2 linked regions of the Lytechinus pictus genome follow. The protein of the gene in region 1 binds, or shares a complex with, the protein of each later gene. Links are inferred from orthologs where the notes say so. Each region holds a gene or a part of one and is shown on either strand. Other genes may lie near its edges.

Region 1 (12,382 bases):
TCATAACTCACAAGGGCTCTAAAAACACCAGGCATAAGCTAAACCTTAGCAAAAAAACTAACTTACGAAAGAGAACTTAGCGTAAATATTTAAGCAAAAAAAATCATATAAGGAGGGAAAAAAAAATCAATGAGCAAATAAATGTGTTTTAGGCAGAGATTTAAAAGTTTTAAACTTGTCAGTGGGAAAAGCACAGTACAAATAATAAGTAATAATAATACTAATAATGATTGGCATTTATATTTTAAAAAAAATGCACATAGAAATTACATTCAAGTATCTGAACTCCTACCTCTGTGAAAGTATTGTGTTTCAGGTAATGCCTGCCTTTCTTCACGATCACCACAGTGCGACTTTTCCTCTCGTGCGTAGAACTAAAAAAAAAGAAACATACAACAGGAAATGATTAAGATACTCAATTTTGGGACTGAACCATTGTCTTATGATGGGGTTTCAAATTACTTTGTCAACCTCAAACACATAGCAATAGTCTTTAATGCTCTATATCTTGTCAATTAAACCAAAAATAAATAATCATGTTTTAACTTTAAACAGTAAATGAGTTGAGGCCTGAAAGTAGTAAACATTGTCACCAAAAGTTTAGTGGCCATTGATTTTTTTTTCAACAATGAGAATTAAACTTATAGTTTGTTTTGATGTTATTTTCATGAAATCGAGTCCCTTACAGCACTTACATTATAATCTTTATTATTAATTACATATTAGTCAGCTATAGCAGCTATAGACAGAGATTACATGTAGGCCTATATCATAACATTTTCAGCAGGTTCTATGTTTGAACAGTGCTTTTGTATTAAAGGTCAAGTCCACCCCAGGAAAATACTGACTTGAATAAATAGAGAAAAGTCAAACTAGCATAGTGCTGAAAATTTCATCAAAATCGGATGTAAAATAAGAAAGTTATGACATTTTAAAGTTTCTCGAATTTTTCACAAACAGTGATATGCACAACTAGGTGAGTCAGTCAATGATGTCCATCACTCACTATATTTTTTTGTTTTTTATTGTTTTAATTATACAATATTTCATTGTTTATAGATTTGACAATAAGGACCAACTTCACTGAACCATATAGTATTAAACAATACTAATTCCAAATGTTCAGGGAGGAATTAATCGTTGTCTCACTTGACATTGAGGAGAAAATTAGAATATTTCATATAATGAAATACAAAAGAAATAGTGAGTGGATGACGTCATAGACTTCTCATTTGCATACCAGCCAGGATGTGCATATAACTGTTTTGTGAAATTGAGCAAAACTTTAAAATGTCATACCTTTCTTATTTTACATCCTATTTTGATGAAATTTTCAGTGTTATTCTTGTTGGATTTTTCTCTTTTTATTCAAATCAACTTTTGTTGGGCTGGACTTGTCCTTTAGATAAAAACAGAAATATGCATATATTTTAATTTGATGTAAAATCTCAAAGTTTATCCAATAAAACATTTCATTTCCTTACATACATTGTAGTAACTGCTTCAGGACATACACATTCATATTTTTCTTTTATAAATGAATTGGAATTATATGACAGTGACATGCGTTAGTGCAATTAAGTGTCATCATTAATTGTCACAGCTTTAAAAGGCTAAATACAATTTCCTCATATCGTAATATTTGTCAGATTTTTTTACAGCAGTTCAAACTGAAATATGATAATTGGTTTGATATAATTTCCAATTGTATTCTCTCTTGTGAAACCAGGGCCATTGAGCAATATTGACAATACACATGCAAAAGCCTACCTGGTTACATTGCAGGACACAATGCCTTTCCGATCCACTTCCACTATCATCCTGTTCTTTGAGAGCTGTTCTTGGATCAGGATGACCTTTTCTGTCCCTCGGACGATGAAGTAGCCCCCAGGGTCAAGAGGGCACTCGTTCAGTTTGGCCAGCTCGGCCTGAGATTTGCCGGTCAGCACGCAATTGGAGCTCCTCAGCATGATCGGCATCCTGTAAGAATAATAGATGAAATTGATTTTTAAGTTTGATTGCAATTATGTGTTTTTAGGAGGGAAAACATTCCAAGGTCAAGAGGGCACTCGTTCAGTTTGGCCAGCTCGGCCTGAGACTTGCCGGTCAGCACGCAATTGGAGCTCCTCAGCATGATCGGCATTCTGCAGGAATAATTGATTTTTAAGTTTGATTGCAATCATGTGTTTTTAAGAGGGAAAACAACCCCTGGTCAAGAGGGCACTCGTCCAGTTATGCCAGCTCGGCCTCAGACTTGCCAGTCAGCATGCAACTGGAGCTTCGCAGCATGATCGGCATTCTGTGGAAATAACAGATATAATTGATCTTTAAGTTTGATTGCAATCATGTGTTTTTAAGAGCCTGAGGGAAAACAACCCCTGGTCAAGAGGGCACTCGTCCAGTTAGGCCAGCTCAGCCTGAGACTTGCCGGTCAGCACACAATTGGAGCTTCGCAGCATGATCGGCATTCTGTGGGAATAACAGATATAATTGATTTTTAAGTTTGATTGCAATCATGTGTTTTTAGGAGGGAAAACAACCCCCGGTCAAGAGGGCACTCGTTCAGTTTGGCCGGCTTGGCCTAAAACTTGCCAGTCAGCACACAATTGGATTTTCGCAGCATGATCAGCATTCTGCAGGAATAAGAGATAAAATTAATTTTCACAACTGCAATGTTTTCAAAAGTGGAAGGGTCAAGAAGGCATTTGTTGATTTTGGCCAACTTGGCCTGAGACTTGCTAGTCAGTACGCAATCAGACCTCTAAAGCATAATCAGGAATAAGATATAAATTTGACATATTAATGATTTATTGTTGTGTTTTCCAAAATGAACAAGGGTCCAGAGGCTCATATCATAAACATTTACAATTAATTATGGCAATGTTGATTTTCATCCAATGGTGTTGAGCCCTGTTACCATGGTAATTACCAATAAAGTCAAAGCTACAACAGTAATTGTGAAATGGCCCCTGGAAAACGCCTATGGGGATTACAGAATTCTATAATCAATGTTAATAAAAAATACCTTCCGATCGGCAAGTTATTTCTGATAACCCTCTGCTGCCCTCGTGTGTACTCTATGTCGACAGTGATGGGGGCGGAGTAAGTCATGTCACGTAGACGACACTCATGCGGAGAGGTTGGCTTGGTGATGTTGAAACTCTCCTCGACGTCCGGGCTACCAACGTAAATGTTTAAGTACCTGTGGATGAAAGAAAAAAAAGACCTTGGAGAATGGTGTAGGGATAATGCACATTACCAGGGGAATTTGTAAGAACTGTATGCGTGAGATTTTGGCCCCGTCTTACAAAAAGTTACGATTGATCCAATCAATCGTAACTCTATGGAAATCCATCAGTGTCATAATTTTTTCAACAGAAAATTTACAAAAGTTGTAAACAAAGGAGAACACACCATATTGTCAAGAAGTCAATGAATCTATGAATATACATCATATCTAGCAAAAATTTTTGAACATGCATTTTACATATTTACTTAACTGGCTTTCCATACTTGCGAATGATCAGATCAATCGCAACTCTTTGTAAGACGGGCACGGGGGCTACTAAAAGATCTCATGATGAAAGTAAACAATCAAGTATATATTCTACGTACTAAGAATATTGCTAGCTGATAAATCAAAAGTCAATCATATGATAAACTGCTCACTGGTTGTGATGATAATGACTATGATAATTGTATGTCTTTATGACATAGTACTCACTTCATGTAGAAAGTTTGGTCAGCATCACTGGTAATCTTCTCATTTGCTTTCATTATCTTCTTGATCTGTAAATGTAATAAACAAATAATAAGTCTTAGATTTATTTTTGGTTCCCCCCCCCCCATTCTCATTCGGTTAAGGTTTAGTTAGGTGTTTTTTTTTTTTGTTTTTTTTTCTCATTGAATTTGTGATTATATGATGTTTTTAAGATTTCTTTAAGTACAATTGTTGTTATGGGTTGGTCTCACACAAGGTTTCATCCTTTTTGGTCATTACCTTCCTCACTTTCTTTAAAGTTGATGTTCATTGTACTTACATTGTCTATTTTTTATGTATTTTTATCTTGATCTCTTGAGGAGAAATAAATGAAACTTGAAAAAAAAACTTGAAACTTGAAAATAGTATAATACTAAATGAATAATGAATATGAATGAATAAATGAATAATTGAATAAATAAACAAATAAATGAAAAATAAATAAATAGATAAACAAACATATAAATAAATAAAGTAAATGTGAATGAGAATAAATGAATAAATAAACACAAATATAAATGAATAAATAAAACAAGAATAGAGGCCTACATGGGGATATGATAATCTCACCTTGCTCATAAAAAAATGCAAACTTTAAAGGAGAATGAAACCTTTGGAACAAGATAGCTTGTGTGAAAACAGAAAAATCAAAGAAACGGATCAACGAAAGTTTGAGAAAAATCAGACAAATAATGAGAAAGTTATGAGCTTTTGAATATTGCGATCACTAATGCTATGGAGATCCTCACATTGGCAATGCGACAAAGATGTGTGATGTCACTCTTGAACATCTCTCCCCATTACTTTAGTATATATTTCACTTAAATTGCCTCTTTTATTACATCTATCAGTAGAACATTTATTCTTTCTGTAGGTGGGCATGTAAAACAGATTTTTAAAGAATACATCATGGATAAAGAGTTTGTATAACCATACGAAAAAGCAAAAAGACACATTTTCAGGGTATTTCATAGTCCATCAAAGGGAAAGTTGTTCATGTGTGACATCACACTTCCTTGTAGCATTAGAGATTGTAATATTCAAATGCTCATAACTTTCTTATTATTTGTCCGATTTTTCTCAAACTTTCTTTGTTCGTATTCTTTGATTTTTCTGTTTCGACACAAGCCTACTTGTTAAAAGTTTCATAAACTTCTTAATCCTTGTCCAAATTGGATGATATTTTCAGGACTTTTATATCTGATTTTACCTTATCTGTTGAAATCATTTCTTTTATTCAGTTTAGAGTAGCCCTTCAGAGCTGCCAACCTGAACAAGAACATTACAGTATTTTGTATAGCTGAAAATCAGTATTTTGGGTTATTTGAAAGAAATATATACCAGTCTACAGGAAGAACCATAAAACTGAAACTTTAGAAATCAGTGTTTTGCATGAAATCACCAGTATTCTTCTCATTTTTCAGTACGAAATACTGAAGACCAGTACTACTTGGCAGCTCTGTTTCCTTTAAAGGTCAGGTCCACCCCCAAAAATGTTGATATGAATTAATTGAGAAAAATTAACTCCCATAACGCTGAAAATTTCATCAAAAGCGGATGTAAAATAGAAAATTATGACATTTGAAACTTTTGTTTATTTTTTCACAGAACAGTGATATGCACAATTCAGTGACCTGCAAATGAAACAGTTGATGATGTCCCTCACTCACAATTTTTGCTTTTATTGTTTGAATTATATATTTCATTTTTTACAGATTTGACAATTAGGACCAACTTGACTGAACCATATAGTAATAATCAATGCTAATTCCACCTGCTCAGTGAGGAATTAACTGTTGTTTCACCTAACAATGAGGAGAAAATTATAATATTTAATTTTTCATGTAATAAAATACAAAAAAAATAGTAATGGATGACGTCATCAGTCCCTCATTTGCATACTGACCAGGATGTGCATATAATTATTTCGTGAAATTAAGCAAAAGTTTAAAATGTCATAACTTTCTCATTTTACATCCGATTTTGATGAAATTTTTAGTATTGTGCTTGTTGAATTTTTTCCTTTTTATTCAAATCAACTTTTTTTGGTTGCTTTAAACTTGTCCTTTAAATTGGCTCAAGAGCCAGATAAAGCCTCCCACCCCCCCCAGAAAAAAATTGCCTATACCTCGATATTCGTTAAGCCGAAAACGTAAAAGGGTTCATTAATCCGAACATTTGTGGCGTTATTCCGAAGGTTCGATAATCCGAAAACGAAATAAGGTTCGATGTTCCGAAGATTCATTAATCCGAAAACGAAATATGGTTCGTTGTTCCGAAGGTTCGTTAATCTAAAAACGAAATAAGGTTCGTTGTTCCGAAGGTTTGTTTGTCCGAAAACGAAATAAGGTTCGTTAATCATTTCGTTTTCGGACTAACGAACCTTCGGAATTACGAACCTCATTTCGTTTTCGGAATAACGAACCTTCGGAATTACAAACCTCACTTCGTTTTCGGACTAACAAACCTTCGGAATTACGAACCTTATTTCGTTTTCGGCCTAACGAACCTTCAGAATTACGAACCTTCGGAAATACGAACCTTTGGAGTAACGAACCTTTGGAATAACAAAGCTTCAGAATTACGAATGTATGCGTTCAAATACTTACCTCCACATTAATGAAGTAGTTGAACGAGTCAATATGCTGGCGGACCAACCCTCTCACCTTCAGGAAGGCCGGAAGAAGCTTCCATTTATCCTTTGAAAAAAAAAATTAAAGATACAATGAAACATCATCAGAGTGTCTGGTAAATGGTCACTAACGTTTTATGCTACAGAGGCCAGGGGAGTGTTTCATTAATATTTTCATCCGACATGTTGTCAGAACTTTTCTTGATTTTGATTGGCTGAGAAGCACTGTCACTGTGATAACTGTCGGATAAAACGTCCGACATGGTCTTTCATAAAACGCTCACCTGGTGGGTTTTTCGTAAAAAATTGTGAATGACTTTATGCATGACTTGTGACCCTTTCTTGTGCTTACTGATATAACCCAAGTAGGGGCAGCGGAATGGTTTGAAACTGGGGGTGGGGGTGCTATGTCAAAAGTTGTGGTAAAACCAGATGGTAACTTTCACTATTTTGTACAAAGTTTATTTTTAAGTGGGGGAGGGGGAGGGATAAAGCCCAACTAGCCTCCACCCCCACCCCCAGTTGCGCGGGCCACTGCCTATGTACATAGCTGACTTGAGACTGGAACCTCAAAAAAACAAAAAGTTCTCTCCTTCTACCCCAGTCTCGATGGCCGATCGAGACTGGGGTAGAAGGAGAGAACTTTTCTGTTTTTTGAGGTTCCAGTCTGTGCCTCGATGTCAGGATTCTACCACTCGATAGACTAGACCTTCATCCATTATATTATAATCGTGGTAAGTGCATAATTTCTGTTTTCACAATTTATCTTGCTAGATATTTTGACCATAATCTACCCTTGTCCCGTGAGTATGGGTAAATACACGGTGAGCTCCTGGGTTAAAATGAATACTGACTAAAATTAAAACTGAGCTGTGTCAAAAAACCAATCATTAGGGTGTCTGGAGAAAAATATTATTTTTCTTATTTCAAGAAAATATCACATTTTCTTTGTGAATTTGAAGAGAAATGACCTTCAGCCTGACAGAAATGTAACATTTTTGAAAAAAATCTGATTATTGGCTACAAAAAAGAAGAATGAAATTAGGTCAATTTTCAGCATTTCTCTGCCATAGACTCGGTGGTCACCCTCCTGGGCTTCAACCCTGCAATGACCAAGCAAATGCAATCTATAATTAGAGCATCGGTGGTAGCATTTGTCTCATCCACCAGCGCTAACATCTAGCCAAACTAGCCAACAAAACAATTACCTAGCAGTTTTTCTACCTTTGAGTTCTCAACACTAAGTGTCTACCGAGGAGACTACTAGGGCGTGAAACAGGCCCAAAACGAACAACAACAACAACAACAAATGCCATAGACTGTGTAGTTAAGAAATGGACACACACAAATCCAAATTTTTAGCTTCCGAGAGCTGTTATAAATTTATTATTAATGCCAAAAACTTGTCCATAAAGAGTCCAATAGGATTTTTTATGCTCTTTCTGATGGTATGATTTTTATAAAGATTTGGAAACCAGATCACATTGAAAAATTGCGACAAAGTGAAAAAATTGTGCAAAACAGAAATTTCATTTTCCCATAGAAAACGCATGGGGAAATGGCAATCTCAACACACACAAAAATAAATAAGGGTTTGCAATTTATTTCAAAATCCGTAATTCAAATGATCATATAAACTTGTCCTTCCTGTCAAAAGAAGCCCCTGAATTTTCTCTTTCCATACATGCCAAACACAAGTTAATCATCAATTCAGATCACATGCCCACGTTTTTCTAGTAGCCTGAACTTCCCGAAAAAAATGTGCCACATTTTCCCCTAAATCAGCCTGTCTTATGCTGACACTTTTCAGTGTGGCATCAGACACCCTACAAACACTCTAGGCGACACCCCAATACTTACCCGTGCTAATAAACTGGGACTCCACTCACGTGCATTTGGGCCGCCCTAGCTTAGAACTAAGCAATATTATCGAGAAATTGTTACATTGTAGTCATGAAATATGTTCTATTAAATAAATTGATAATGTTTAATCGGTACTCACTGGTTCTTTTGTTGCATTTTCAGACCATTTCTCACAATTCTTCGTAAATATCTGCGGCAAATTTTGTCGCCATAGACAGCTTAACATCCATCTTTATTGATAAATGGAGCGCCCTTTACGATAGTTGTTAATGCCGCGGAGAAATCGTTAGGCATTTTGGCCTGTGTTCAAGGCGTAGCTGTTCTATTTTTTTTTTATAGGTATGAGATCGAAATCACAGCGAGTATTTACACTCTTCCATAATGATTCCGAAAGGGAGGCGCAACACCCCCCACCCACAGGGGCGCAAATTCCAGGGGAACATGTCCCCCTCACCTAGAATAGTAGGGGGACACATTATGAAATGTCATCCCCCTACTATTTTGGGTCTTATCATTCAAAATCGAAATAAAATATGTATTTTGGAAGAGACAATCTTACTTTTGGGGTGCCCTTTTTTTTTGCTTGTTTGCTTATCAAATTTCTTTTGGTCAAGATGACCTTCTTTTTGGGGTGATAAACCTTCTTTTTTGTTTTTGTTTGTTTGTTTTTTTCTTGTCAAATTTTCCAGCCCCTGGTCCCGGCTACCTTTAGGGAGAGATTTCCGCCCTTGCCTAACAGTACACTTGATATTGTTTGCGAATCTGCGTGGGCGTCGGGGGCTGGGGGATGAGGAAAAGCGGTGAGACGAGAAAAAAAAATAGAAGGAAAAAGAGGACAGAAAAAAAGTGAACGAAAGAAAAATTAATGGAAAATAAAAGGGAGGAGAAAATAGTGAGAAAAGTGATGGGTAGGTCGAGATTTTATGTGTCCGTGCAAAAAGAAATGAGCAGAGGTTGAGATGTTGTCTGTTTGGGCAAATGTCTGTCTGTTTGTTGGACTGGCGCCTGTTGCAAAAATTATTAAGCTGATGGAATCAGAAAGTTCCAACTGCTTCATGTCATACCGACAGTGACAGGATTAGGCGGTTGTATATATAAATCACGCTCTAAAACTGTGTTCTTTATTAAAAAGTTGTCCTTCATATTCATTTTCGCAAAAGAATATCAAGTTTTCAATTAATTGTCTATAGTTATCCTGTTTATGATAAAAATACTTAGAAATTGGGTTAGGTTAGGGTTATCAAATTATCGGGGCAGAAAATATATTTTTTCAGTTCGCGCGTCGAGCTGGCATTAGTGATCAGTGAGATTATGTTTTTAATGACATTCATTCTATTCACAGCAATATATTATTAAACATAGCCGCATGAATTATAGATAGGTCTATAGTTATCAGGTGAATAATTTACCGCTACACACTGATCATGTGGATACTGTTTTGTAAAGGGGAATTTCACCTTGATAAAAAGATTGTGAAAATATAGGCCAAATAAAAATAATTTCAAAACATCGGTGAAGGTGTTATTAAAAAAAAATGGAGTTAGTAGAATTTCGAATGCTTGATTTGTGACGTCATAAACGAGCAGTTGCTCAATATTCTATGTAATACAAAATGCAAAAATTTCCCATTTTTAATGGTCCGTAATGACCCACTTTTTTCTTTTTGGAGAGAGTATGAAGTTATCTATTGATATACTGAATGTACAATAAAAGTCATTATCACGTATTTCTTGACATTTCATTTACTTTTTACCATAATTATATCCGATATAGCTGCTCGCAAAGGCCTACGCCGTCACAAATAATTATTTAAAAAATCTCACCTTTAATTTTTTTTTGGTGGGGGATGGATTTTTCCTGAACGCATACCAATTTTTCAAATTATTTTTTCTGCTATTTTCATAATTAACTTTAAATAAATTCACCTATGCACTACTTAATTTTTTCAAAGACAAAATAACAAAATTACATCTAGTCTTCATCATCACCATCATCACCAACTTCATTCTCATCATCATCACCACTACCACCATCATTATCATCATCATCATCATCATCATCATCATCATCACCGCCACCATCACCAACCCATCATCATCACCAAGATAATTTTCATCATCATCATCTTTCTTTTTTTTTCTTTTTTTTTCCCCTTCCCTTCTTCTTTTTTTCCTTCCTATTTTCCTCCCTTTTTAGAGGGGCACACCACCAAATAAATATGTTTGTTGTTGTTGTATATAAGTTGGCGGATGCCTCATGAAATGAAATAAAAGAGAAAATAAGGAAATGGAAAAAGTAAGAAGAAGGATAAGAAGAAAAAAAGAAAGCCAAACAAACAAGACAAAATAATATCAAAATTTTGTAATAAAGTCAGTCAGTTTAATAATTATGTTTTCAATGAAATGAGACATAAAAGAATTGAAACAAGTAAAAAGGGCTACATCATAGTTAAAAGAAATAGAGGGAAGCTCCGAGACAATAAAAAGTGTAAAAAAAATCAGAAAAGACTTTGAAACACTCTGAACACGAGTATAATATAAAAAAAATTGGGAATAAGCGAGGACAAGTAGGTGAGGGACCCCCCCCCCCCCCTCTCTAGTTATTTACTCAAACTCGCATATACAAGAGAAGAAATTCTTACTAATCAAAATATTGCGAGCAAAAAGCATGAGCTGACATTTTTTTTAATATTCAAAACTGATAGAGAGACACATTTTGAACAATTCATGAAACATAATAATCATTCATTATAGTTACCAATCGGATTGTGACAAGATCTGAGAATTAGAAATTCATTAAAAGCATAAAATTGTATAACATTAAAATAAGACGGGCGCAACGCATGAGCTAAAGCTTTATATACCAATTAAAAATTTGGACATTTTTAGCGCTTTCGGTAGTCATGAAAAAGATTCATATTTCATGAAAGCTCAAATCCCGAGGAGGAATATTTTTTATTAATTGACTTAAAAAAGGCTGTTCTAATTAAGCCCCATTTAATATTTGATTACAAGTCTCGTTAAACAGTAAAAGAGGAAAAAATAAAGCATATTGTGTTCCTCAATTCTCTTTCTCTTTAACCCTATTTTTTTTTTATTTTTTATTTTTTTTTTTTTGGGGGGGGGAGGTATTTTGGTTTAAAAAAAAGAGAAAAAACGATAATTGCTGGCTAGTGGGTGTATAGTGGTAGGGACACCCCGCCCCCCCCCCCCCCCGTAGTTACGCAAACATGGGACCAAATGATCCTACTTGTTCCAAGGCGAAACTTGTGCAATCAATTAAATGTTATTTTTGAGAAAATTAAAGCTTGCGCTGTTTAAATTCAATCTCTTTTACCTAAATTTGCGATGAATGCTAGCATTATGAAATATATAATTATCAACGTCTGGCGAAAAGAATAACCAACCGATCAGCTGACGAGAACGCGTATCACGTGATCTGCATATCAGCTTCGATCGCGAGTCAGACGTGAAGAGCAACTGGCAATAAAATCTGGAAAAAGTCGTCAAAATGTAAGTTCCCCTTCATTTCTTTCAATTTTTTTTATTGCTAACAATGCTTTAACTTTCTTAAACAAAAATTTAATGAATAGACAGTACGATAGCTCGTACTTGTGTTATAATACACAAATAATCATCTTCACAAAGATTTCTGACACAAAATACTACAGATGTCGCCTATGAGGTCCATACATGTAATGTTTGGACCTCATTGGTACCACTCCTAGTACCAATGAGGTCCAACATTACATGTATGGACCTCATAGGCGACATCAGTAGTATTTTTGGTTAGAAATCTCTGAGAACAGGATATTTAGGCAATTATATCACAAGTACAAGCTATATTCCTTTCTCTTATTTAAATTATAATTTTATAGTGTAAATGCATCGTTAGCAACAACAAAAAATGAAAGAAATGAAGGGGAACTTACATTTTCACGGCTTTTTCCTGATTTTCTGGGCAGCTGCTCTTCTCTTCTGACTCGCGATCGAAGCTGATATGAAGATCACGTGATTCGCGTTCTCGTCAGCTGATCGGTTGGTTATTCTTTTCGTCAGACGTTAATAATATATATTTTATAATGCTAGCATTCATCGCTAATTTAGGTGAAAGAGATTGAAGTTAAA
Region 2 (13,334 bases), on another chromosome or scaffold:
AAAGAAAGTCTTTATTCAATATTGTTAACTTGAAACTACGAAACATAGTTACACAGATGCACACTTACATGTACCACAATCGGAGCAGATGGAGGCACCGTTGGGGGCGGTGTTGGTGCAGCAAGGGCTGGTGTGGCGAGGGCAGGTAGCTCCCTCTCAGGGGTAGATGCCCTGGAGCTACAGTTCGGTGTAAGGACCTCCTTCTGTGGAGTTTTGACTTCTTTATGCGGCATCTGGAGCTTCTCCAGGTTGAGCCTATCCAGAGTGACCCAGTCATCAAGACGCTTGTTGTCTGTAAGGCGAACAAGTAGGTCAATTAATGATGGTTGTGAAAGCTGTCAAGTATCTTTATTTCATAAACTTTTATACAATGTCTGAAGCTGCTTGCTGCAGAACAGAATGTACACACAAATAATATACATGCACTAACCCTTACATTTTCAAGGAGCTTTTATTGTGTATCTAATAACCGTTTTAAGAATGACTTCTTCAATTAACAGAGCTTAAATTCATCCAAGGTCAAGGCCTTGGATGTGGTATTTAATGGCTTCAATGCCACTTTCGCTGTACTTTGATATTTTTTTTGCCCTTTTTATTTTCCCCATCTGTGCTGAATTATAAAAATTGGCCCTTTTGAAAGGTGACTTTGCCCTAATGATATCAAAATTTAAGGGCTGAATTAGCATTGATAGACATTACATAATAAACTAGGGAGAAAAGGGTGCTTTTCATGATTGCACATCTCTACATCCCCAAAATCAAATCACTTACAGTCGATGTAATGGACGTAAAACAAGACTCCATCATCTGTGTCCTTGCGACTTATTATCTCTCCAAGTGCTGCATATAAAAGATAGTAAAGATTAAGAAAATGAAATGAAATAATTGAAAATAATCCTAATAGTAGTCTCCTTCTGTTATACATGTACATAGAAAAATACTTTATTGTCAAAACATAATGGAAAAAAGATTAAAGAGCTTGCTTTACAGACATACATGTAAGTAACTGCATGTAAAAAAATGTCTTGCTCTTCCTAAACAATTTATTCCAGTGCTTTTGCAATAAATCAGATTTTGATAATCATTTTGTCAAAACATGCCAAGTGATTAGTATCATTTTTTTTACAGGTTCAAATCCTGTCTAAAGCTTTGGCAAAGGGTCAGTAATGTGAATTAGAGTCAATTATCATATAATCTTCCAACATTACAAAAGCAGATCTCGTCATTTAATCTGTTTTCAGCTCTAAGAATTTAAATTCAGAATGTTTTCTTAAGTAGGTATGTGACTATCGCGCGATGTGATCTCAATATTACGGCACCGGCACCGGTTTCAAAACGAGCTTGGGTTGCTCTGTAAGGGGTGGCTTTAAATGGGTGTAGATTTGGCGATTTCTAGCCAATTTGGCCTATTTTCACTGATGACGTAGCTGAAAAAAATCCCCTTCGCCTCGATGTCAAATTTTGAAGATCGGACGCATGGAAGTTGGATTTGGCTCATGTGAAAGTCTAATGTTGTCTTCACCATCGTGACCGGCCCTGAAGGTAAGTTTTGACAGTTTTTAAACCTATTTTAACAGCTTGTTCATATATTTTTCTTGGTGTGTGGTGAATATAAATCGAATCTAAAAATCCGATCATTTATTTTTTACATCCTAAAAATTGATTGTCAGAAATAGCAAACTGCCACGAGAGTTGCGTGCTACACGAGCATCATGATGAGTGCTGTGTCGCCGGGAGCCGTGGCATGGGTGCACCAGCTCAGAGGGGTTATGCTAGCAGTTTGTGCATCGCATTGATTGAATTATTATTTGCTTTTGTGATCTAGAGTCTACTTGTTTATATTTATATTATTAGTTATTACATCCTTTGATGAATATGAATATACACATTACACAATTTTAGCTTGTTTTCAGTATTTTGTTGTAAGATAAATTGGATAATTGGGATGTCATTTATCATTTATTTAGGCAAACTTAGCCTGAGGTCACCCAAGAAAAAAAAAAAAATAATAACATAATTCTAGGTCCTGCATTGAATCATGTGCTCATACACAGTTTAATTATAGATTATAAAAGATATTATGTTTGTTACTGATATATATAAGAGTAGAAACTGACATCAAAATTTTGTTCAATAAAAACATCTGTTAAAGCGACCAAAAACTGGCAAACACTGGTTGACGCCATCTTTTCCCATTTACTCATATACACTGTTTTAGCCCACACGGGGTGCGTCGGACTAGCGCACGGGCGTGTGTCGAAAAATGTTACGTACGAGTGAATGGAGGAAGACGTAGATGGCGTCAACCAATGTTCGCCAGTTTCTGGTTGCTTTAATTATAGGCCCAGATTTTTTTTTTTTTTGCAGCAGTGAGATTTGAATTTCATTCTGAAAGTTTTATTTAGAAGATGTGTTGTTGCAGAAGTTCCTGTAAAAAAATCCAAACAATAAGGAAATTATATAAGTTTGTATGTGTTCGGTAATGAGTTTATGAACAATTTATATATCAATTTACTAATTGATAATTAATAATTACATTGATCTATTATTAAGACAAATATTGATATCCTTTCTCATCACCTGTTTTTTACTCAGTTTTATACTTAGAGTAAAATGAATAATTTGTATAATAAAAAAATAAAAAAAAATTTGGGTCACGGTCGGTCACACATTTTGAATGGTCGCAATGGTAAGACAATGTCAGACTCAATGGCAAAGCCAAGCTTTGCCAAACCCAAAGGCAATAATAGGCACTTCAGGTGAAAATTAGAAAAGGCTATTCCAGCATATTTTATAGGCTCACAATGAGGCTCAATATCTATGATTCACAAAACTGTTTGAATTTTCAAATTCCGATATCTAGAAGTCAAGTTATTGTCATCTTTGTGATGAAAAAACAGGGCTTTTTGTGGACAAAAGAAGATTGCGAAATCTTATTATTCTCTTTGTTTTGGGCATGGCACATTTATAATACATAGCTTATGGGGAATTGTACAAGCTTTTTATTTAAATCTTAAAGTACTCAGATTGATTTGACATACATGTATTGGCATATGATTTCTTTGGTTCAAGGGCAACTACCCCTGGACGATAACCCCCACCCCCGGACAATTCCCCTCCCCCACCCTGGACAATTACCCCCCCCCCGGACAACTACACTGTAGTCTGTACCCCTATCCAAAAATCTACACCTAACCTAATCCTATTTCGGGGGTAATTGCCCTGTGGTAGGTTTGTGCACAGGGTAAACATGACTTGATATTGATTTTCTTTGCTTGAACATTAAAAATTAAGTTTTCAATGAATATTATTTGTAATCAAAGAAAGAGAATTAAAGTAATAATCTTAGGATTTCTATCAAAAAATAAAAACAGATTGATTTCAATTGTCTATTATCTCATTATTGTCTTGTTATTGTGGTCTCAATAAAATTGTTGATATTATTGTCTTTTCATCGTTTCATTATTGTCCCAATTATTATTATAATTATAATAATTATTATTATCATGATAATTATTTTTGTTTCATTAATATTATTTTCTAAATAATGATTACAATTATAATTACTATCATTATAGTAATATTTGATCATTAGAGTAATTATTGTTATAATTATTTCATAATAATAATCATTATTGAAATAATAATTATTATTGTCTCAATAATTATAAGGCCTTAAATTATAATTATGATTATTTTTATAATTACAATTATAATAATTTTTATAATAATAATCATTATTGATGACTTATCAATATTACTGTCTCAGTAATTATTACAAGTACAATTACTTTCATTATAATTGTTATCATTATAATTATTTTATGATAATTATTATTATTGTAATAATAGTTATTATTGTCTCAATAATTATAAGGCCTTTAATTAGAATTTTGATTATTTTTATAATCATAATATTTTTATAATAATAATTATTGATGACCTTTCAATATTACTGTCTCAGTAATTATTACAATTATAATTACTTTCATTATAATTGTTATCATTATAATCATTTTATAATAATTATAATTATTGTAATAATAGTTATTATTGTCTCAATAATTATAATTACTATAATCATAATTATTTCTACAATTATATTTATTTTAATTATAAATAAGTATTACTATTATAATGATTATTATTGATATCTCATTAATATTATTGTCTCAGTAATTATTACAATTCAAATTACATCATTATAATTGTTATCATTACAATTATTTTATTATAATAATGATTACTGTAATAATTATTATTGTCAATAAATACTAGAATTGATGTCTCATTAACATTGTCTCAATTATTACAATTATAATTATTATCATTATGATTATAATTGTTATCATTATAATCATAATAATTATTATTGTAATAATAATTATTATAATTGTCTCAATAAATTATTGTCTCATAATGTCTCATCATCTCTGTTGCCTCATTATTGTCTTCTCTTATTTTTTCATAATATCTTCAAAATAATATTTAACACCATAACAAAGGTCCATAAATCAGATATCAAATTCATGAAACTCATCTCATGTATCTAAACCTATTTCTAAATTAAATTCATGAAAGGAGCTTTCTGTGCCATTCAAAAATACGACTTTCATTAACAATACCATATTCTAGACATTCAGACGCATTGCAACAAAAAAATCACTTATCAAACAAAATTCTTGAAGTTTACTTGCAGTTTTGCTCTTAATACTTATTTCACACGAATTCTACAAAATTATTTTCAAAATAACAATTTGATTTTCATAATTAACAGAGCTCAAATCGTAATTAAAAAAAATATACAACGGCTGAAACATACCGTGTCTGAATACCAAGACTAATCTCAGGCCCAACGCAGTGGGGATGACGTCACTTACAGCTGTTCGTATACGCTCAAAACAACCCTGCTCGATCGGCCGAGTCAGATTCACAAACACCTCATGACACTCAAAACTGAAGCTCATATCCGCAGGCTCTCTACGGACCAAATTTAATTAGAATTTAACAAAATGTTCTCAAATATACAATTTTATTACTGACCGAGTTTACAAGAGATCCGATGATTACAAGAAGGTGATTTCAAGCAAAGAAAAATAAATACCTGAATATTAGGTCCTTCCCTCGCATGAAGGTAAGTGATACTCCATCTTATATATTTCCGATGTTTACCGAAGATGTACAAAGCAACCGCGGGAATTTTTGACCAATCACAATCAGCGGAATAAAGGAAGAAACTGACTCTGTCTTTTCGAGCAATGCCGAATGCAACTCCAGCGCTCGGCCAAAGTGTCGAGCGGAGCGAACTGTGTGTGTTAGATATGCGCTCGCCATTCACTGCAATGCAAAAATCTACGTCTAGCGCTGTGTCCGCGCAATCGCCCGCCTGGCTGAAGTGTCTAGGCCTAGCAATAATTAAATCAGATTTTTAATATTTAAAAAATCATAACTCTCTTAATATTTGGCCTAGAGTAATGGTTAATAATACCATTTTAAATGTTTTTTTCAGCCCTTTCCAATGAGCTAGGTTACAATGTAATTCCATGATTTTTATTTTTTTTGTCACATATATGGCAGTATGTCCAAACTTCGCGCGTGTCCATACTTCGCGGACGGTCATTATTTAAAAAACTAGCCAATATCCTTAAAATCTGACATCATCAACGTGAAAAGCGACCTAAAAGTACCCTATAGTGAAAATTTCTTTAGGATGAGTTCAGTATTCATGAAAATATTGGCAAAAGATCGGCAAATTTGCCACCGCTAGCGCCCGTTTTGAAGAAATCAACAAGCATCACGATATCACCATTTTGCAAGCAGAAATCATAAAAAATGTGAGTTAAATGTGGTACTAACCGATTCCATAGCATTTTGCCATCAATCTGATATAAATATTTCACTTTTTTAGCTTGATTTTTTGTTTAAATCTCCACAAAAGCTTTGGTGCGCGAAGTTAGGTCACACTTTTTCTGAACGGTTTTCCAGCACAGCCCGCATTCGCCGATCGGAATAGAATTTTGAGATCGCGATACCGGCGAAACCCCTTGACTAGACAGGAATAACCGTCGTTTCTGGGGATTTATTCAACAATTTCTGACATTTTACTGTAATCCCCATTTACCGACGGTAGGGTGTACGTGTGGGCTCGCATGTGTTCTCATTCCCTCCCTTTTGTCAATTCACAGTCCAAAGTTTGATGTAATTTTACACATCGAATTTACAATCTAAGGATGTATAAACAACAAACTTGTAAAATTTAATATTTTAATATTTAAATACTTTAAACGATATAGATGAAAAAGGCATGAAAAATATACTTTACCGATGTTTAATTGGGTTGAACACGATAAAAATGGTCAAAATGGCAGCCAAACTATAAAATATTTACAAACGAACGTCAACAATCACGAATGTGATATCGATATTGCTTTCGATATTATACGATCTGCTCCATATGCGATCGAAACCGAAGATAAACGATACTAGTTATACTAGTACTAGTACTAGTTATAATCGCGATATATCGATTCGAGACATTAAGTTTATAACGATAATGACGTCATTCAAGATGGCAACTTGCAAGAAAAACCGTCAGGTCAGGTGAAAATGTCTTAGATGACAGATTTCTCAATCATCCAGAGGATTTTTTTCAATAACTCCGGCCCAAGGTATGCAATTACTAAATTTATTCATATTTCCCTGATAATGGAAACCATGATGAAACTTTCAATTTTGCTTAAAAAACAGTTTTAAATCGCGATCTATAAAACGCTAGTTCACTATACGTTGGCTGTAGGTACGGGGCCCCATCCCCTTCAGTCTATGTATGGTGAGTGGAGCCAACGTAGTTCAGCGGAACAACCAAAATACAGAGACTGAAGCTTTTGGTCTACCCCTTGACCTACTTTACATTTTCGTCCATGATTTTATAGTTTACGATCTTGCCGTCAATGTGGTAACTATTTCTTGAATTGGTTTTGTATAAATTATGAATATTTTGTGAACAAAAATAAGCCTGATGAATATTTTTGAAAAGTGCGCGAAGTTTGGACACCCCATCATACCTATCTTAAAGACTTAGCATGTTATTGTTAAGGCTTAAGCATCCTCTTTTTTGGCAAATTGGCAATGTTTTTATTTTTATTTAAAATGCTCTTTTAGCACTTACATGTACATGCACTTTACATATTTAGTTGGATATTACAAAGATTTTGAAAAATATTATGTCCTTAAATCCTTGGTCCATTTCATGGTTGAGAAGGGACGTGACTTTATAAACAAGACATAGGGCCTAGGTAAATAAATACAAAGAAATTTCACCAATATAGCAAACGCAAAAGTCAACACATGGGACCAAAATGAAATAAATCCAAAGAGAACTTACGCCACTCATCCGTTTGCTTCATTCTTACAGGCATGCGGCATCCTTCAACCACCAGATCTTCCTGAAAAGAAAATTAGAGTTGCGATTATAAGTTCAAATAAATAGGGCACAATAAAAATTTAAAAGAATTAATAAAAACGAGCAAAACTCACAGTTTTTATCGATGAATCATTATTTTCCGCCATTTTGTTTGTGTGTTTTCTCTCAAAATTACTCCACTGCCGACGGCTTGTCCAAAAAAATTTTCTTGTCCAACTCCAAGAAAGAAGCACAGATAAAGTAAAATGAGTGCAGGAGAAAAGAAGGAATCACCAGATGCTATGAATCTAGAGGAGAGGTATGAGCCGTATCATATATGCATTTTAGATCGATTTTTTTTTCTAATTTTGCATTATATGTTTAAATTTTTGTTTTTTTCTAGCCAAAAAGGTCGTGCTTCACTTCAGTCCCACCTGATGTCTGTTTTGTTTGCTCTGGTTTTGGAAGTTTGTAGTTGTAATATAGTCACGTATTGTATTAATACCGGACACTATTATGATTCCGGACGCGCATATTACTGCGTTCTAAAACAAATTCGTACCGTAAAACTTCCGCAATTCAATTTCACAGAGCAATACATAGAACAAGATTGCAAAAACAAGGCGAAAAATCCAACTTTTACCTAATTATCTCTCAAAATGACAGAAAATGCTTAAAAGTTAAAATATCATATTATAACATAGTTTTGTATTAACAATTGATGTATTTTCTAACGGAAATATGGGCCTGATTTGCCGAATTTCAATCTCGTCCACTCCTTCGATCGAATGATGAGGTGTGGTGTATTGTGGGTGATCGTCGATGGCTAGTTCTCAAGGTACCCGTGCGCGAGGTTTACCGTGAGTAGAGCCGTCGATCGGCAGCGCATCGATAGAACTTGATGAGCGTCACGATATGATACGAACGCGAGCATATTATTATTGGAAAGTGCCATGGAACATGCAGCTAACAAGACAAAATAAAATAAGTTATCAAACACGAATTTATTACCAACATCTGCTCAGATTCGATATAAAAAAGCAAATAATACTTAGAATTTACTCATGATATGATATAAGAAGAAAAAAATCACACAAATTTGCTCTTACATCATTATAATCAAGGATATCTTTACCCGTCCGGCGCGCGTCCGGAATCATGATGTAATTTGTCGCGCACGAAAATAATTGTTTTTCATGGAGGGGTATGCGGCAACTGCGATGCAAAGAAAATGGTTGGTAAATATAATTATAAAATAATTTTATCATATTCATAATTTTCATAATATTTGGAATAGCAAGTGTGATTTTTTCTTGATTGTATTTCCTCTAGTTGTCATTTTTAAAGCACTGAAATAAAGGTGTCCGGCAATAGGATACACTGCCATACAGCTAGTATTGCTATTTTCAATTTCACATTCATATAAAAATTAAAACATATTGGCCCGTATTCTGAAGTCGGGTTTAACTTAAACTCAGGTTTTAAGTTGTGGTTTAAGTATGGTAAGCCAATGGTTACATAAATCACTATTAACAGTAGAGATATCATATTTCAGCTCATTTGGCTCTCAAATCATTCATAATCCTGATAATTGTCTAGGAAGTATAAAATTAAAATTGATTGTCTTCATCATCGATGAATCAGGAAAGAGCACAGTAAACATACAAAACATACAACTTAATAAACATTTTGACACTTTTGGCTTCCCATAATTTTAGCACAGAGTTAGACCGTCCATGGTCTAAGTTAAACCTGACTTCAGAATACGGGCCATTAGATTTTTGGAAAAGTACCGGTAGTCATAATGTTCTTTTGATATGAAGGAAACGGACACGAAAACTTAAACTTTTGTTGTCACTTGTTTTTTTTGTTGCTATTTATGAATTTTGCCCTTTTCTGTGTAAAAAAATGTTGGACTGGAGTCCAGTCCTGGAGGCTGGACCTGGAATCTGGATTGTGAAAGTTGCATTGCAGTTGCAATGAAATTATCTAAATTATAAGACCACTTCTAGTACCAATGAGGTCAAAAGTGACTCAAAACGTAACCTATTGACCTCATAGTCAACAATCGTACATATATGGGGAGGTGCACTTGTAGAAAGTCGCCTCCCGTGGCAGTACACAAATGCATGACGACTAGTTTTTTTTTTCGTTTAGATATGAACTTCCTTGAGTGAAATTATTATTGTTTATTGCAATTTAGATATTACAAATTATATCTAAGGTAAAACTTTTTATTAAATATCTGTGGATTTTGTACAATGGTACTTGAAAGTCTTACTACGCTGGCAGCTTTTTTCAACCTTTTTTTAGGTCCCAAAGACTCCCACTCACTGCCTCCTACTAGTCCTAGAGTGTATAAGACTAGAATAAAATACAGTCAGTGTCACTTAATCTCTCTCTTTTAGTCCAGGCAGATAATTTGGCATTATTTGATTTGAAGGCTTATTTATTTTGCTGTCAATACCTGACATAGTCACTTTTTTATAAATGTGAATTTGAAACAGTTGATTTTCCATTATTTTGAATTTACATTGTATCTCAAGACATTATGGTCTATCTCATCAACAGTAACCAATTAATTTGAACTTTTGTAATCTGTTTTCTTGTTCAAATTACAGAATCCTGGAACTATGTAAAGGAGAATCAGATGGTATTCGAGATTCGGCTATTCAGAAGCAACTTCCAAACATTGATGCTCAACAGAGAGTATCGGCTGTCAACAGACTTCTTTCATCAGTGAGTTTCTTTTTTCACCCCCCCTCCCCCGCGAAGGTGGTTGTCAGAGGCATTCATTATATTTTGGAGTCATTGTGTTGCTAATCTGAGAATATATTCTCAGTTAAGCAACACAATGACTCCAAAAGGTATACCTTCAAAGGTATACCTTCAAAATAAATATGAAAAACATAATTTTGATTCAGTAATTCCTATTTGTTTACAATTCAGAGCATATTTGATGAAGAAATCTAATTTGCATCCTTTTCTTTTATCTAGGGTAAAATAGACTTGGTGAAGACAAGCACTGAATTGCTGTACCGTTTGAAGGATCCTGGTGTTGTAAGGTAATTTCCATTCATTATTCCTTGAAATGAATGAACTTAAGTGTCACTATTTGACTTGGACCAATGCTGTCATTTCCTGGTAATTCGTATAAGGGTTTCATGTGATAAATGAAATATTTGGTCGATGCAGAAAAGACTGGTTTATTGTAACTTGTTATTAATGGGAGGGGGGGGGGGGGTGAATACTTAGCCAGGATTCAAATCTGCATTGAAAATGTATCTTATCATTTGATAAATGAAGATGTATACAACGTGATAGCTGTCATCATCATTTTATTATATGAGAACTATTATTTTATGTTATATGTTAAAATTTTGTTAAATGATTACTGTTGCTTATATTATTTTTGTAGTAAAATCAAAGGAGCTGATAATCAGGAACGTCTTGTATATCAGATCATCGAGCAATCAGGCAACAAGGGAATATGGACACGAGATATCCGATTAAAGAGCAATCTACAACTAACTCAACTCAACAAGATTCTGAAGAATTTAGAGAGTAGGAAACTCATCAAGGCTGTCAAGTCTGTTGGGGTAGGTGTTTATTAACCTTTTGGTATGCTAATGTTGACATTTTGCTCATGCAATCTATTGCAATGATTAGTTTTCTCCCTTATCTTTAAGCTGGATAAGCTAATAAATGTCTATAGCCCCTGGATAGCATATGTGCATTATTATTCTGTATCAGTGGTGCAGTATGGAAATCTAGATTCAAACAAAATATCACAAATATAATCAGTCATAGTAGCTGACCAGTTTTAGACGACATAAATTACTATAGGGCCTGTTAGGTCAAAGTAGAGACCATGGCCAAGCAGGTACTGGAACTCAAAACCACGCAAGTCCAATGCTCTAACCACTAGACCATGATATGATCCATATTATGGGTTGGATTATGAAAAAAATTGTACATTCCACAAATTTTCCCTTCATTTAAAATCCAGGCAGCAAGGAAAAAGGCATACATGCTCTTTAATCTGACCCCTGACCCCTCAGTGACCGGCGGAACATGGTATAGTGATCAGGAGTTCGAGTCAGAATTTGTAGAAGTCCTGAACCAACAGTGCTTCAAGTTTCTTCAACAAAAGGTTTGTTTGCTCTCCTGCAGCAATCTGTTTATTTTAGTAATTGAACTTCACTTCCAACAATGTCTTGCTTTTTTTGTGAGAGGGGAAAAAGGTAAGCCTCATACAATTTAGACTTTTGAAAAGGCTCCATCATGGACATAATTGTGTTTGTTCAGGATTACACAGCAACAACGAAAATGGCTGAGTGGCATTTCTTTTTAAAGTTTTTATTTGAATCCTGATATGCTGTAATTCATCATGATGTCATCCCTTTGAAATCCACCTTGTAAACATCCAGCAAACAAAACATTTTCAGAATGTTTAAGAAATGATTGTGGACATTCAAGCAACGTTTTCAAAATGTGTCAAGGCTTTGAAAACTGTTTGGACATTTTGAAAACTTTTTAACGATAGATTTTTTTTTTCTTCAAATCAATTCAACACATTTGATAAAAAATAATCACAAGTCAGGAGATAATTTACAATTTTGTGTTAACCACTTGACTGCTATAGGCTGTAATGCGCACTGACCCCCCTTGTGCTACTGAATGGGACTAACAAGTTGGATCTATTTGGGACGACAACCGACAGCAACTTGGGGGAAAAATTGTAAATAATCACATCACTTTCCTCATCACTATTTCCAGTATCCATACCAAAAAATCATCCTCCCCTTCTGACACAGATCTTTCACTAGATTTATTACTCCTATCGTCTAAAGTTTCGTCAAAATCCTTTCGATTCACTTCTCCACTGCGAGTCGCCATTTTGAACTGAGTGCCGTACACTATCACTATGGAAAAGTGAATACAAACATTTATAAATCACTGCAAATGTTTCGATAACTTTTGTTGAATAGCGCCATTTGATATACATGCGCTGTTTTCATCGGAGGGGTGTTAACAGTGCGGTGCTGACGCCTCAAACAGAAGATAGGTCAAGCACGTAATATTACGTGCCCCGCACAGATCGCACACTCACCCAGCACATAATATTACGTGCTACGTAGTCAAGTGGTTAAAAAGGAGGAAACTGAAGTGTAAAGAAATTATCCATTGCATAACAATACAAACAAATTCAACCACAATATATTCATATTGTAATTAATATTTTTGTTGTACAAGCTTTCATTTTATAGACTTCATTTATATACTTCAAATGAGATATTATACTTCGCTTAATTGTGATTTTCTCTCACAGGTTGAAAGTGTTTCAGCCCTACACCTTGATCCATTACTGAAAAGGAATAGATCATACGTTACACCAGAAGAGGTCTGGAAATTCATCACCGAGCTTCGGATCAGCAAGGTATAGGAGCTTGATTTTTTTCCCCCTTGTAATTGAATTGATTTCATTAGTGAATTTACTGCAGTGATAAAAGTATTGATGAAATGAATGAATTAATAAATAAGTAGTTTGCTTTATAGATTACTTTATAAACAAAATCTTATGATTCGTGGTGAAAATAGTGAAAATGGATTGAAGAAATGAAATGTCACTCAACTTTCGCTCCTTCTTTGAGAGCACTCTAGAACGAATCCGTATCTGTTTAGAATTCAGAAATATATCACAAACTAATTGCAATGCGAAATTGAGCATGAGGCTGTTGACTTGTTATTGCATAGTCGACTGCATATTCAATATTCCGTAAATAAAATAATCGCACAAGTCGAGGCAATTTTTGAAATGGATTATGCAATGCATGTGTTATGTTATCCATCTCTCCTTAGTCAGATTTTGACTGAGGCAGACTGACCTGTATGAATAGATTTAAGTGCACTGAATCTGAAACAAATGCTT

What was found.
Region 2: DNA-directed RNA polymerase III subunit RPC2-like (region 1) and DNA-directed RNA polymerase III subunit RPC6-like share a complex: the UniProt entries of both Drosophila melanogaster proteins name them as parts of the RNA polymerase III (Pol III) complex. The link is inferred for Lytechinus pictus from reciprocal best matches to the Drosophila melanogaster genes Polr3B and Polr3F.

What each region holds. Positions count from the first base shown.
Region 1 is NC_087250.1:6,006,505-6,018,886, forward strand, and holds the start of DNA-directed RNA polymerase III subunit RPC2-like, read right to left. Parts: upstream 6,456-12,382; 5' UTR 6,370-6,455; intron 3,790-6,369; 5' UTR 3,778-3,789; coding exon 3,725-3,777; intron 3,203-3,724; coding exon 3,026-3,202; intron 1,981-3,025; coding exon 1,771-1,980; intron 375-1,770; coding exon 293-374; intron 1-292. UniProt on the Drosophila melanogaster protein: DNA-dependent RNA polymerase catalyzes the transcription of DNA into RNA using the four ribonucleoside triphosphates as substrates. Second largest core component of RNA polymerase III which synthesizes small RNAs, such as 5S rRNA and tRNAs.
Region 2 is NC_087251.1:35,557,087-35,570,420, reverse strand, and holds the start of DNA-directed RNA polymerase III subunit RPC6-like, read left to right. Parts: upstream 1-7,445; 5' UTR 7,446-7,536; coding exon of another isoform or gene 7,537-7,569; 5' UTR 7,570-7,668; coding exon 7,669-7,721; exon of another isoform or gene 7,722-7,856; intron 7,857-10,023; coding exon 10,024-10,141; intron 10,142-10,399; coding exon 10,400-10,467; intron 10,468-10,820; coding exon 10,821-11,001; intron 11,002-11,411; coding exon 11,412-11,555; intron 11,556-12,734; coding exon 12,735-12,842; intron 12,843-13,334. Other genes in the region: histone acetyltransferase KAT5-like, read right to left, coding at 69-292, 772-840, 7,385-7,445, 7,537-7,569. UniProt on the Drosophila melanogaster protein: DNA-dependent RNA polymerase catalyzes the transcription of DNA into RNA using the four ribonucleoside triphosphates as substrates. Specific peripheric component of RNA polymerase III which synthesizes small RNAs, such as 5S rRNA and tRNAs.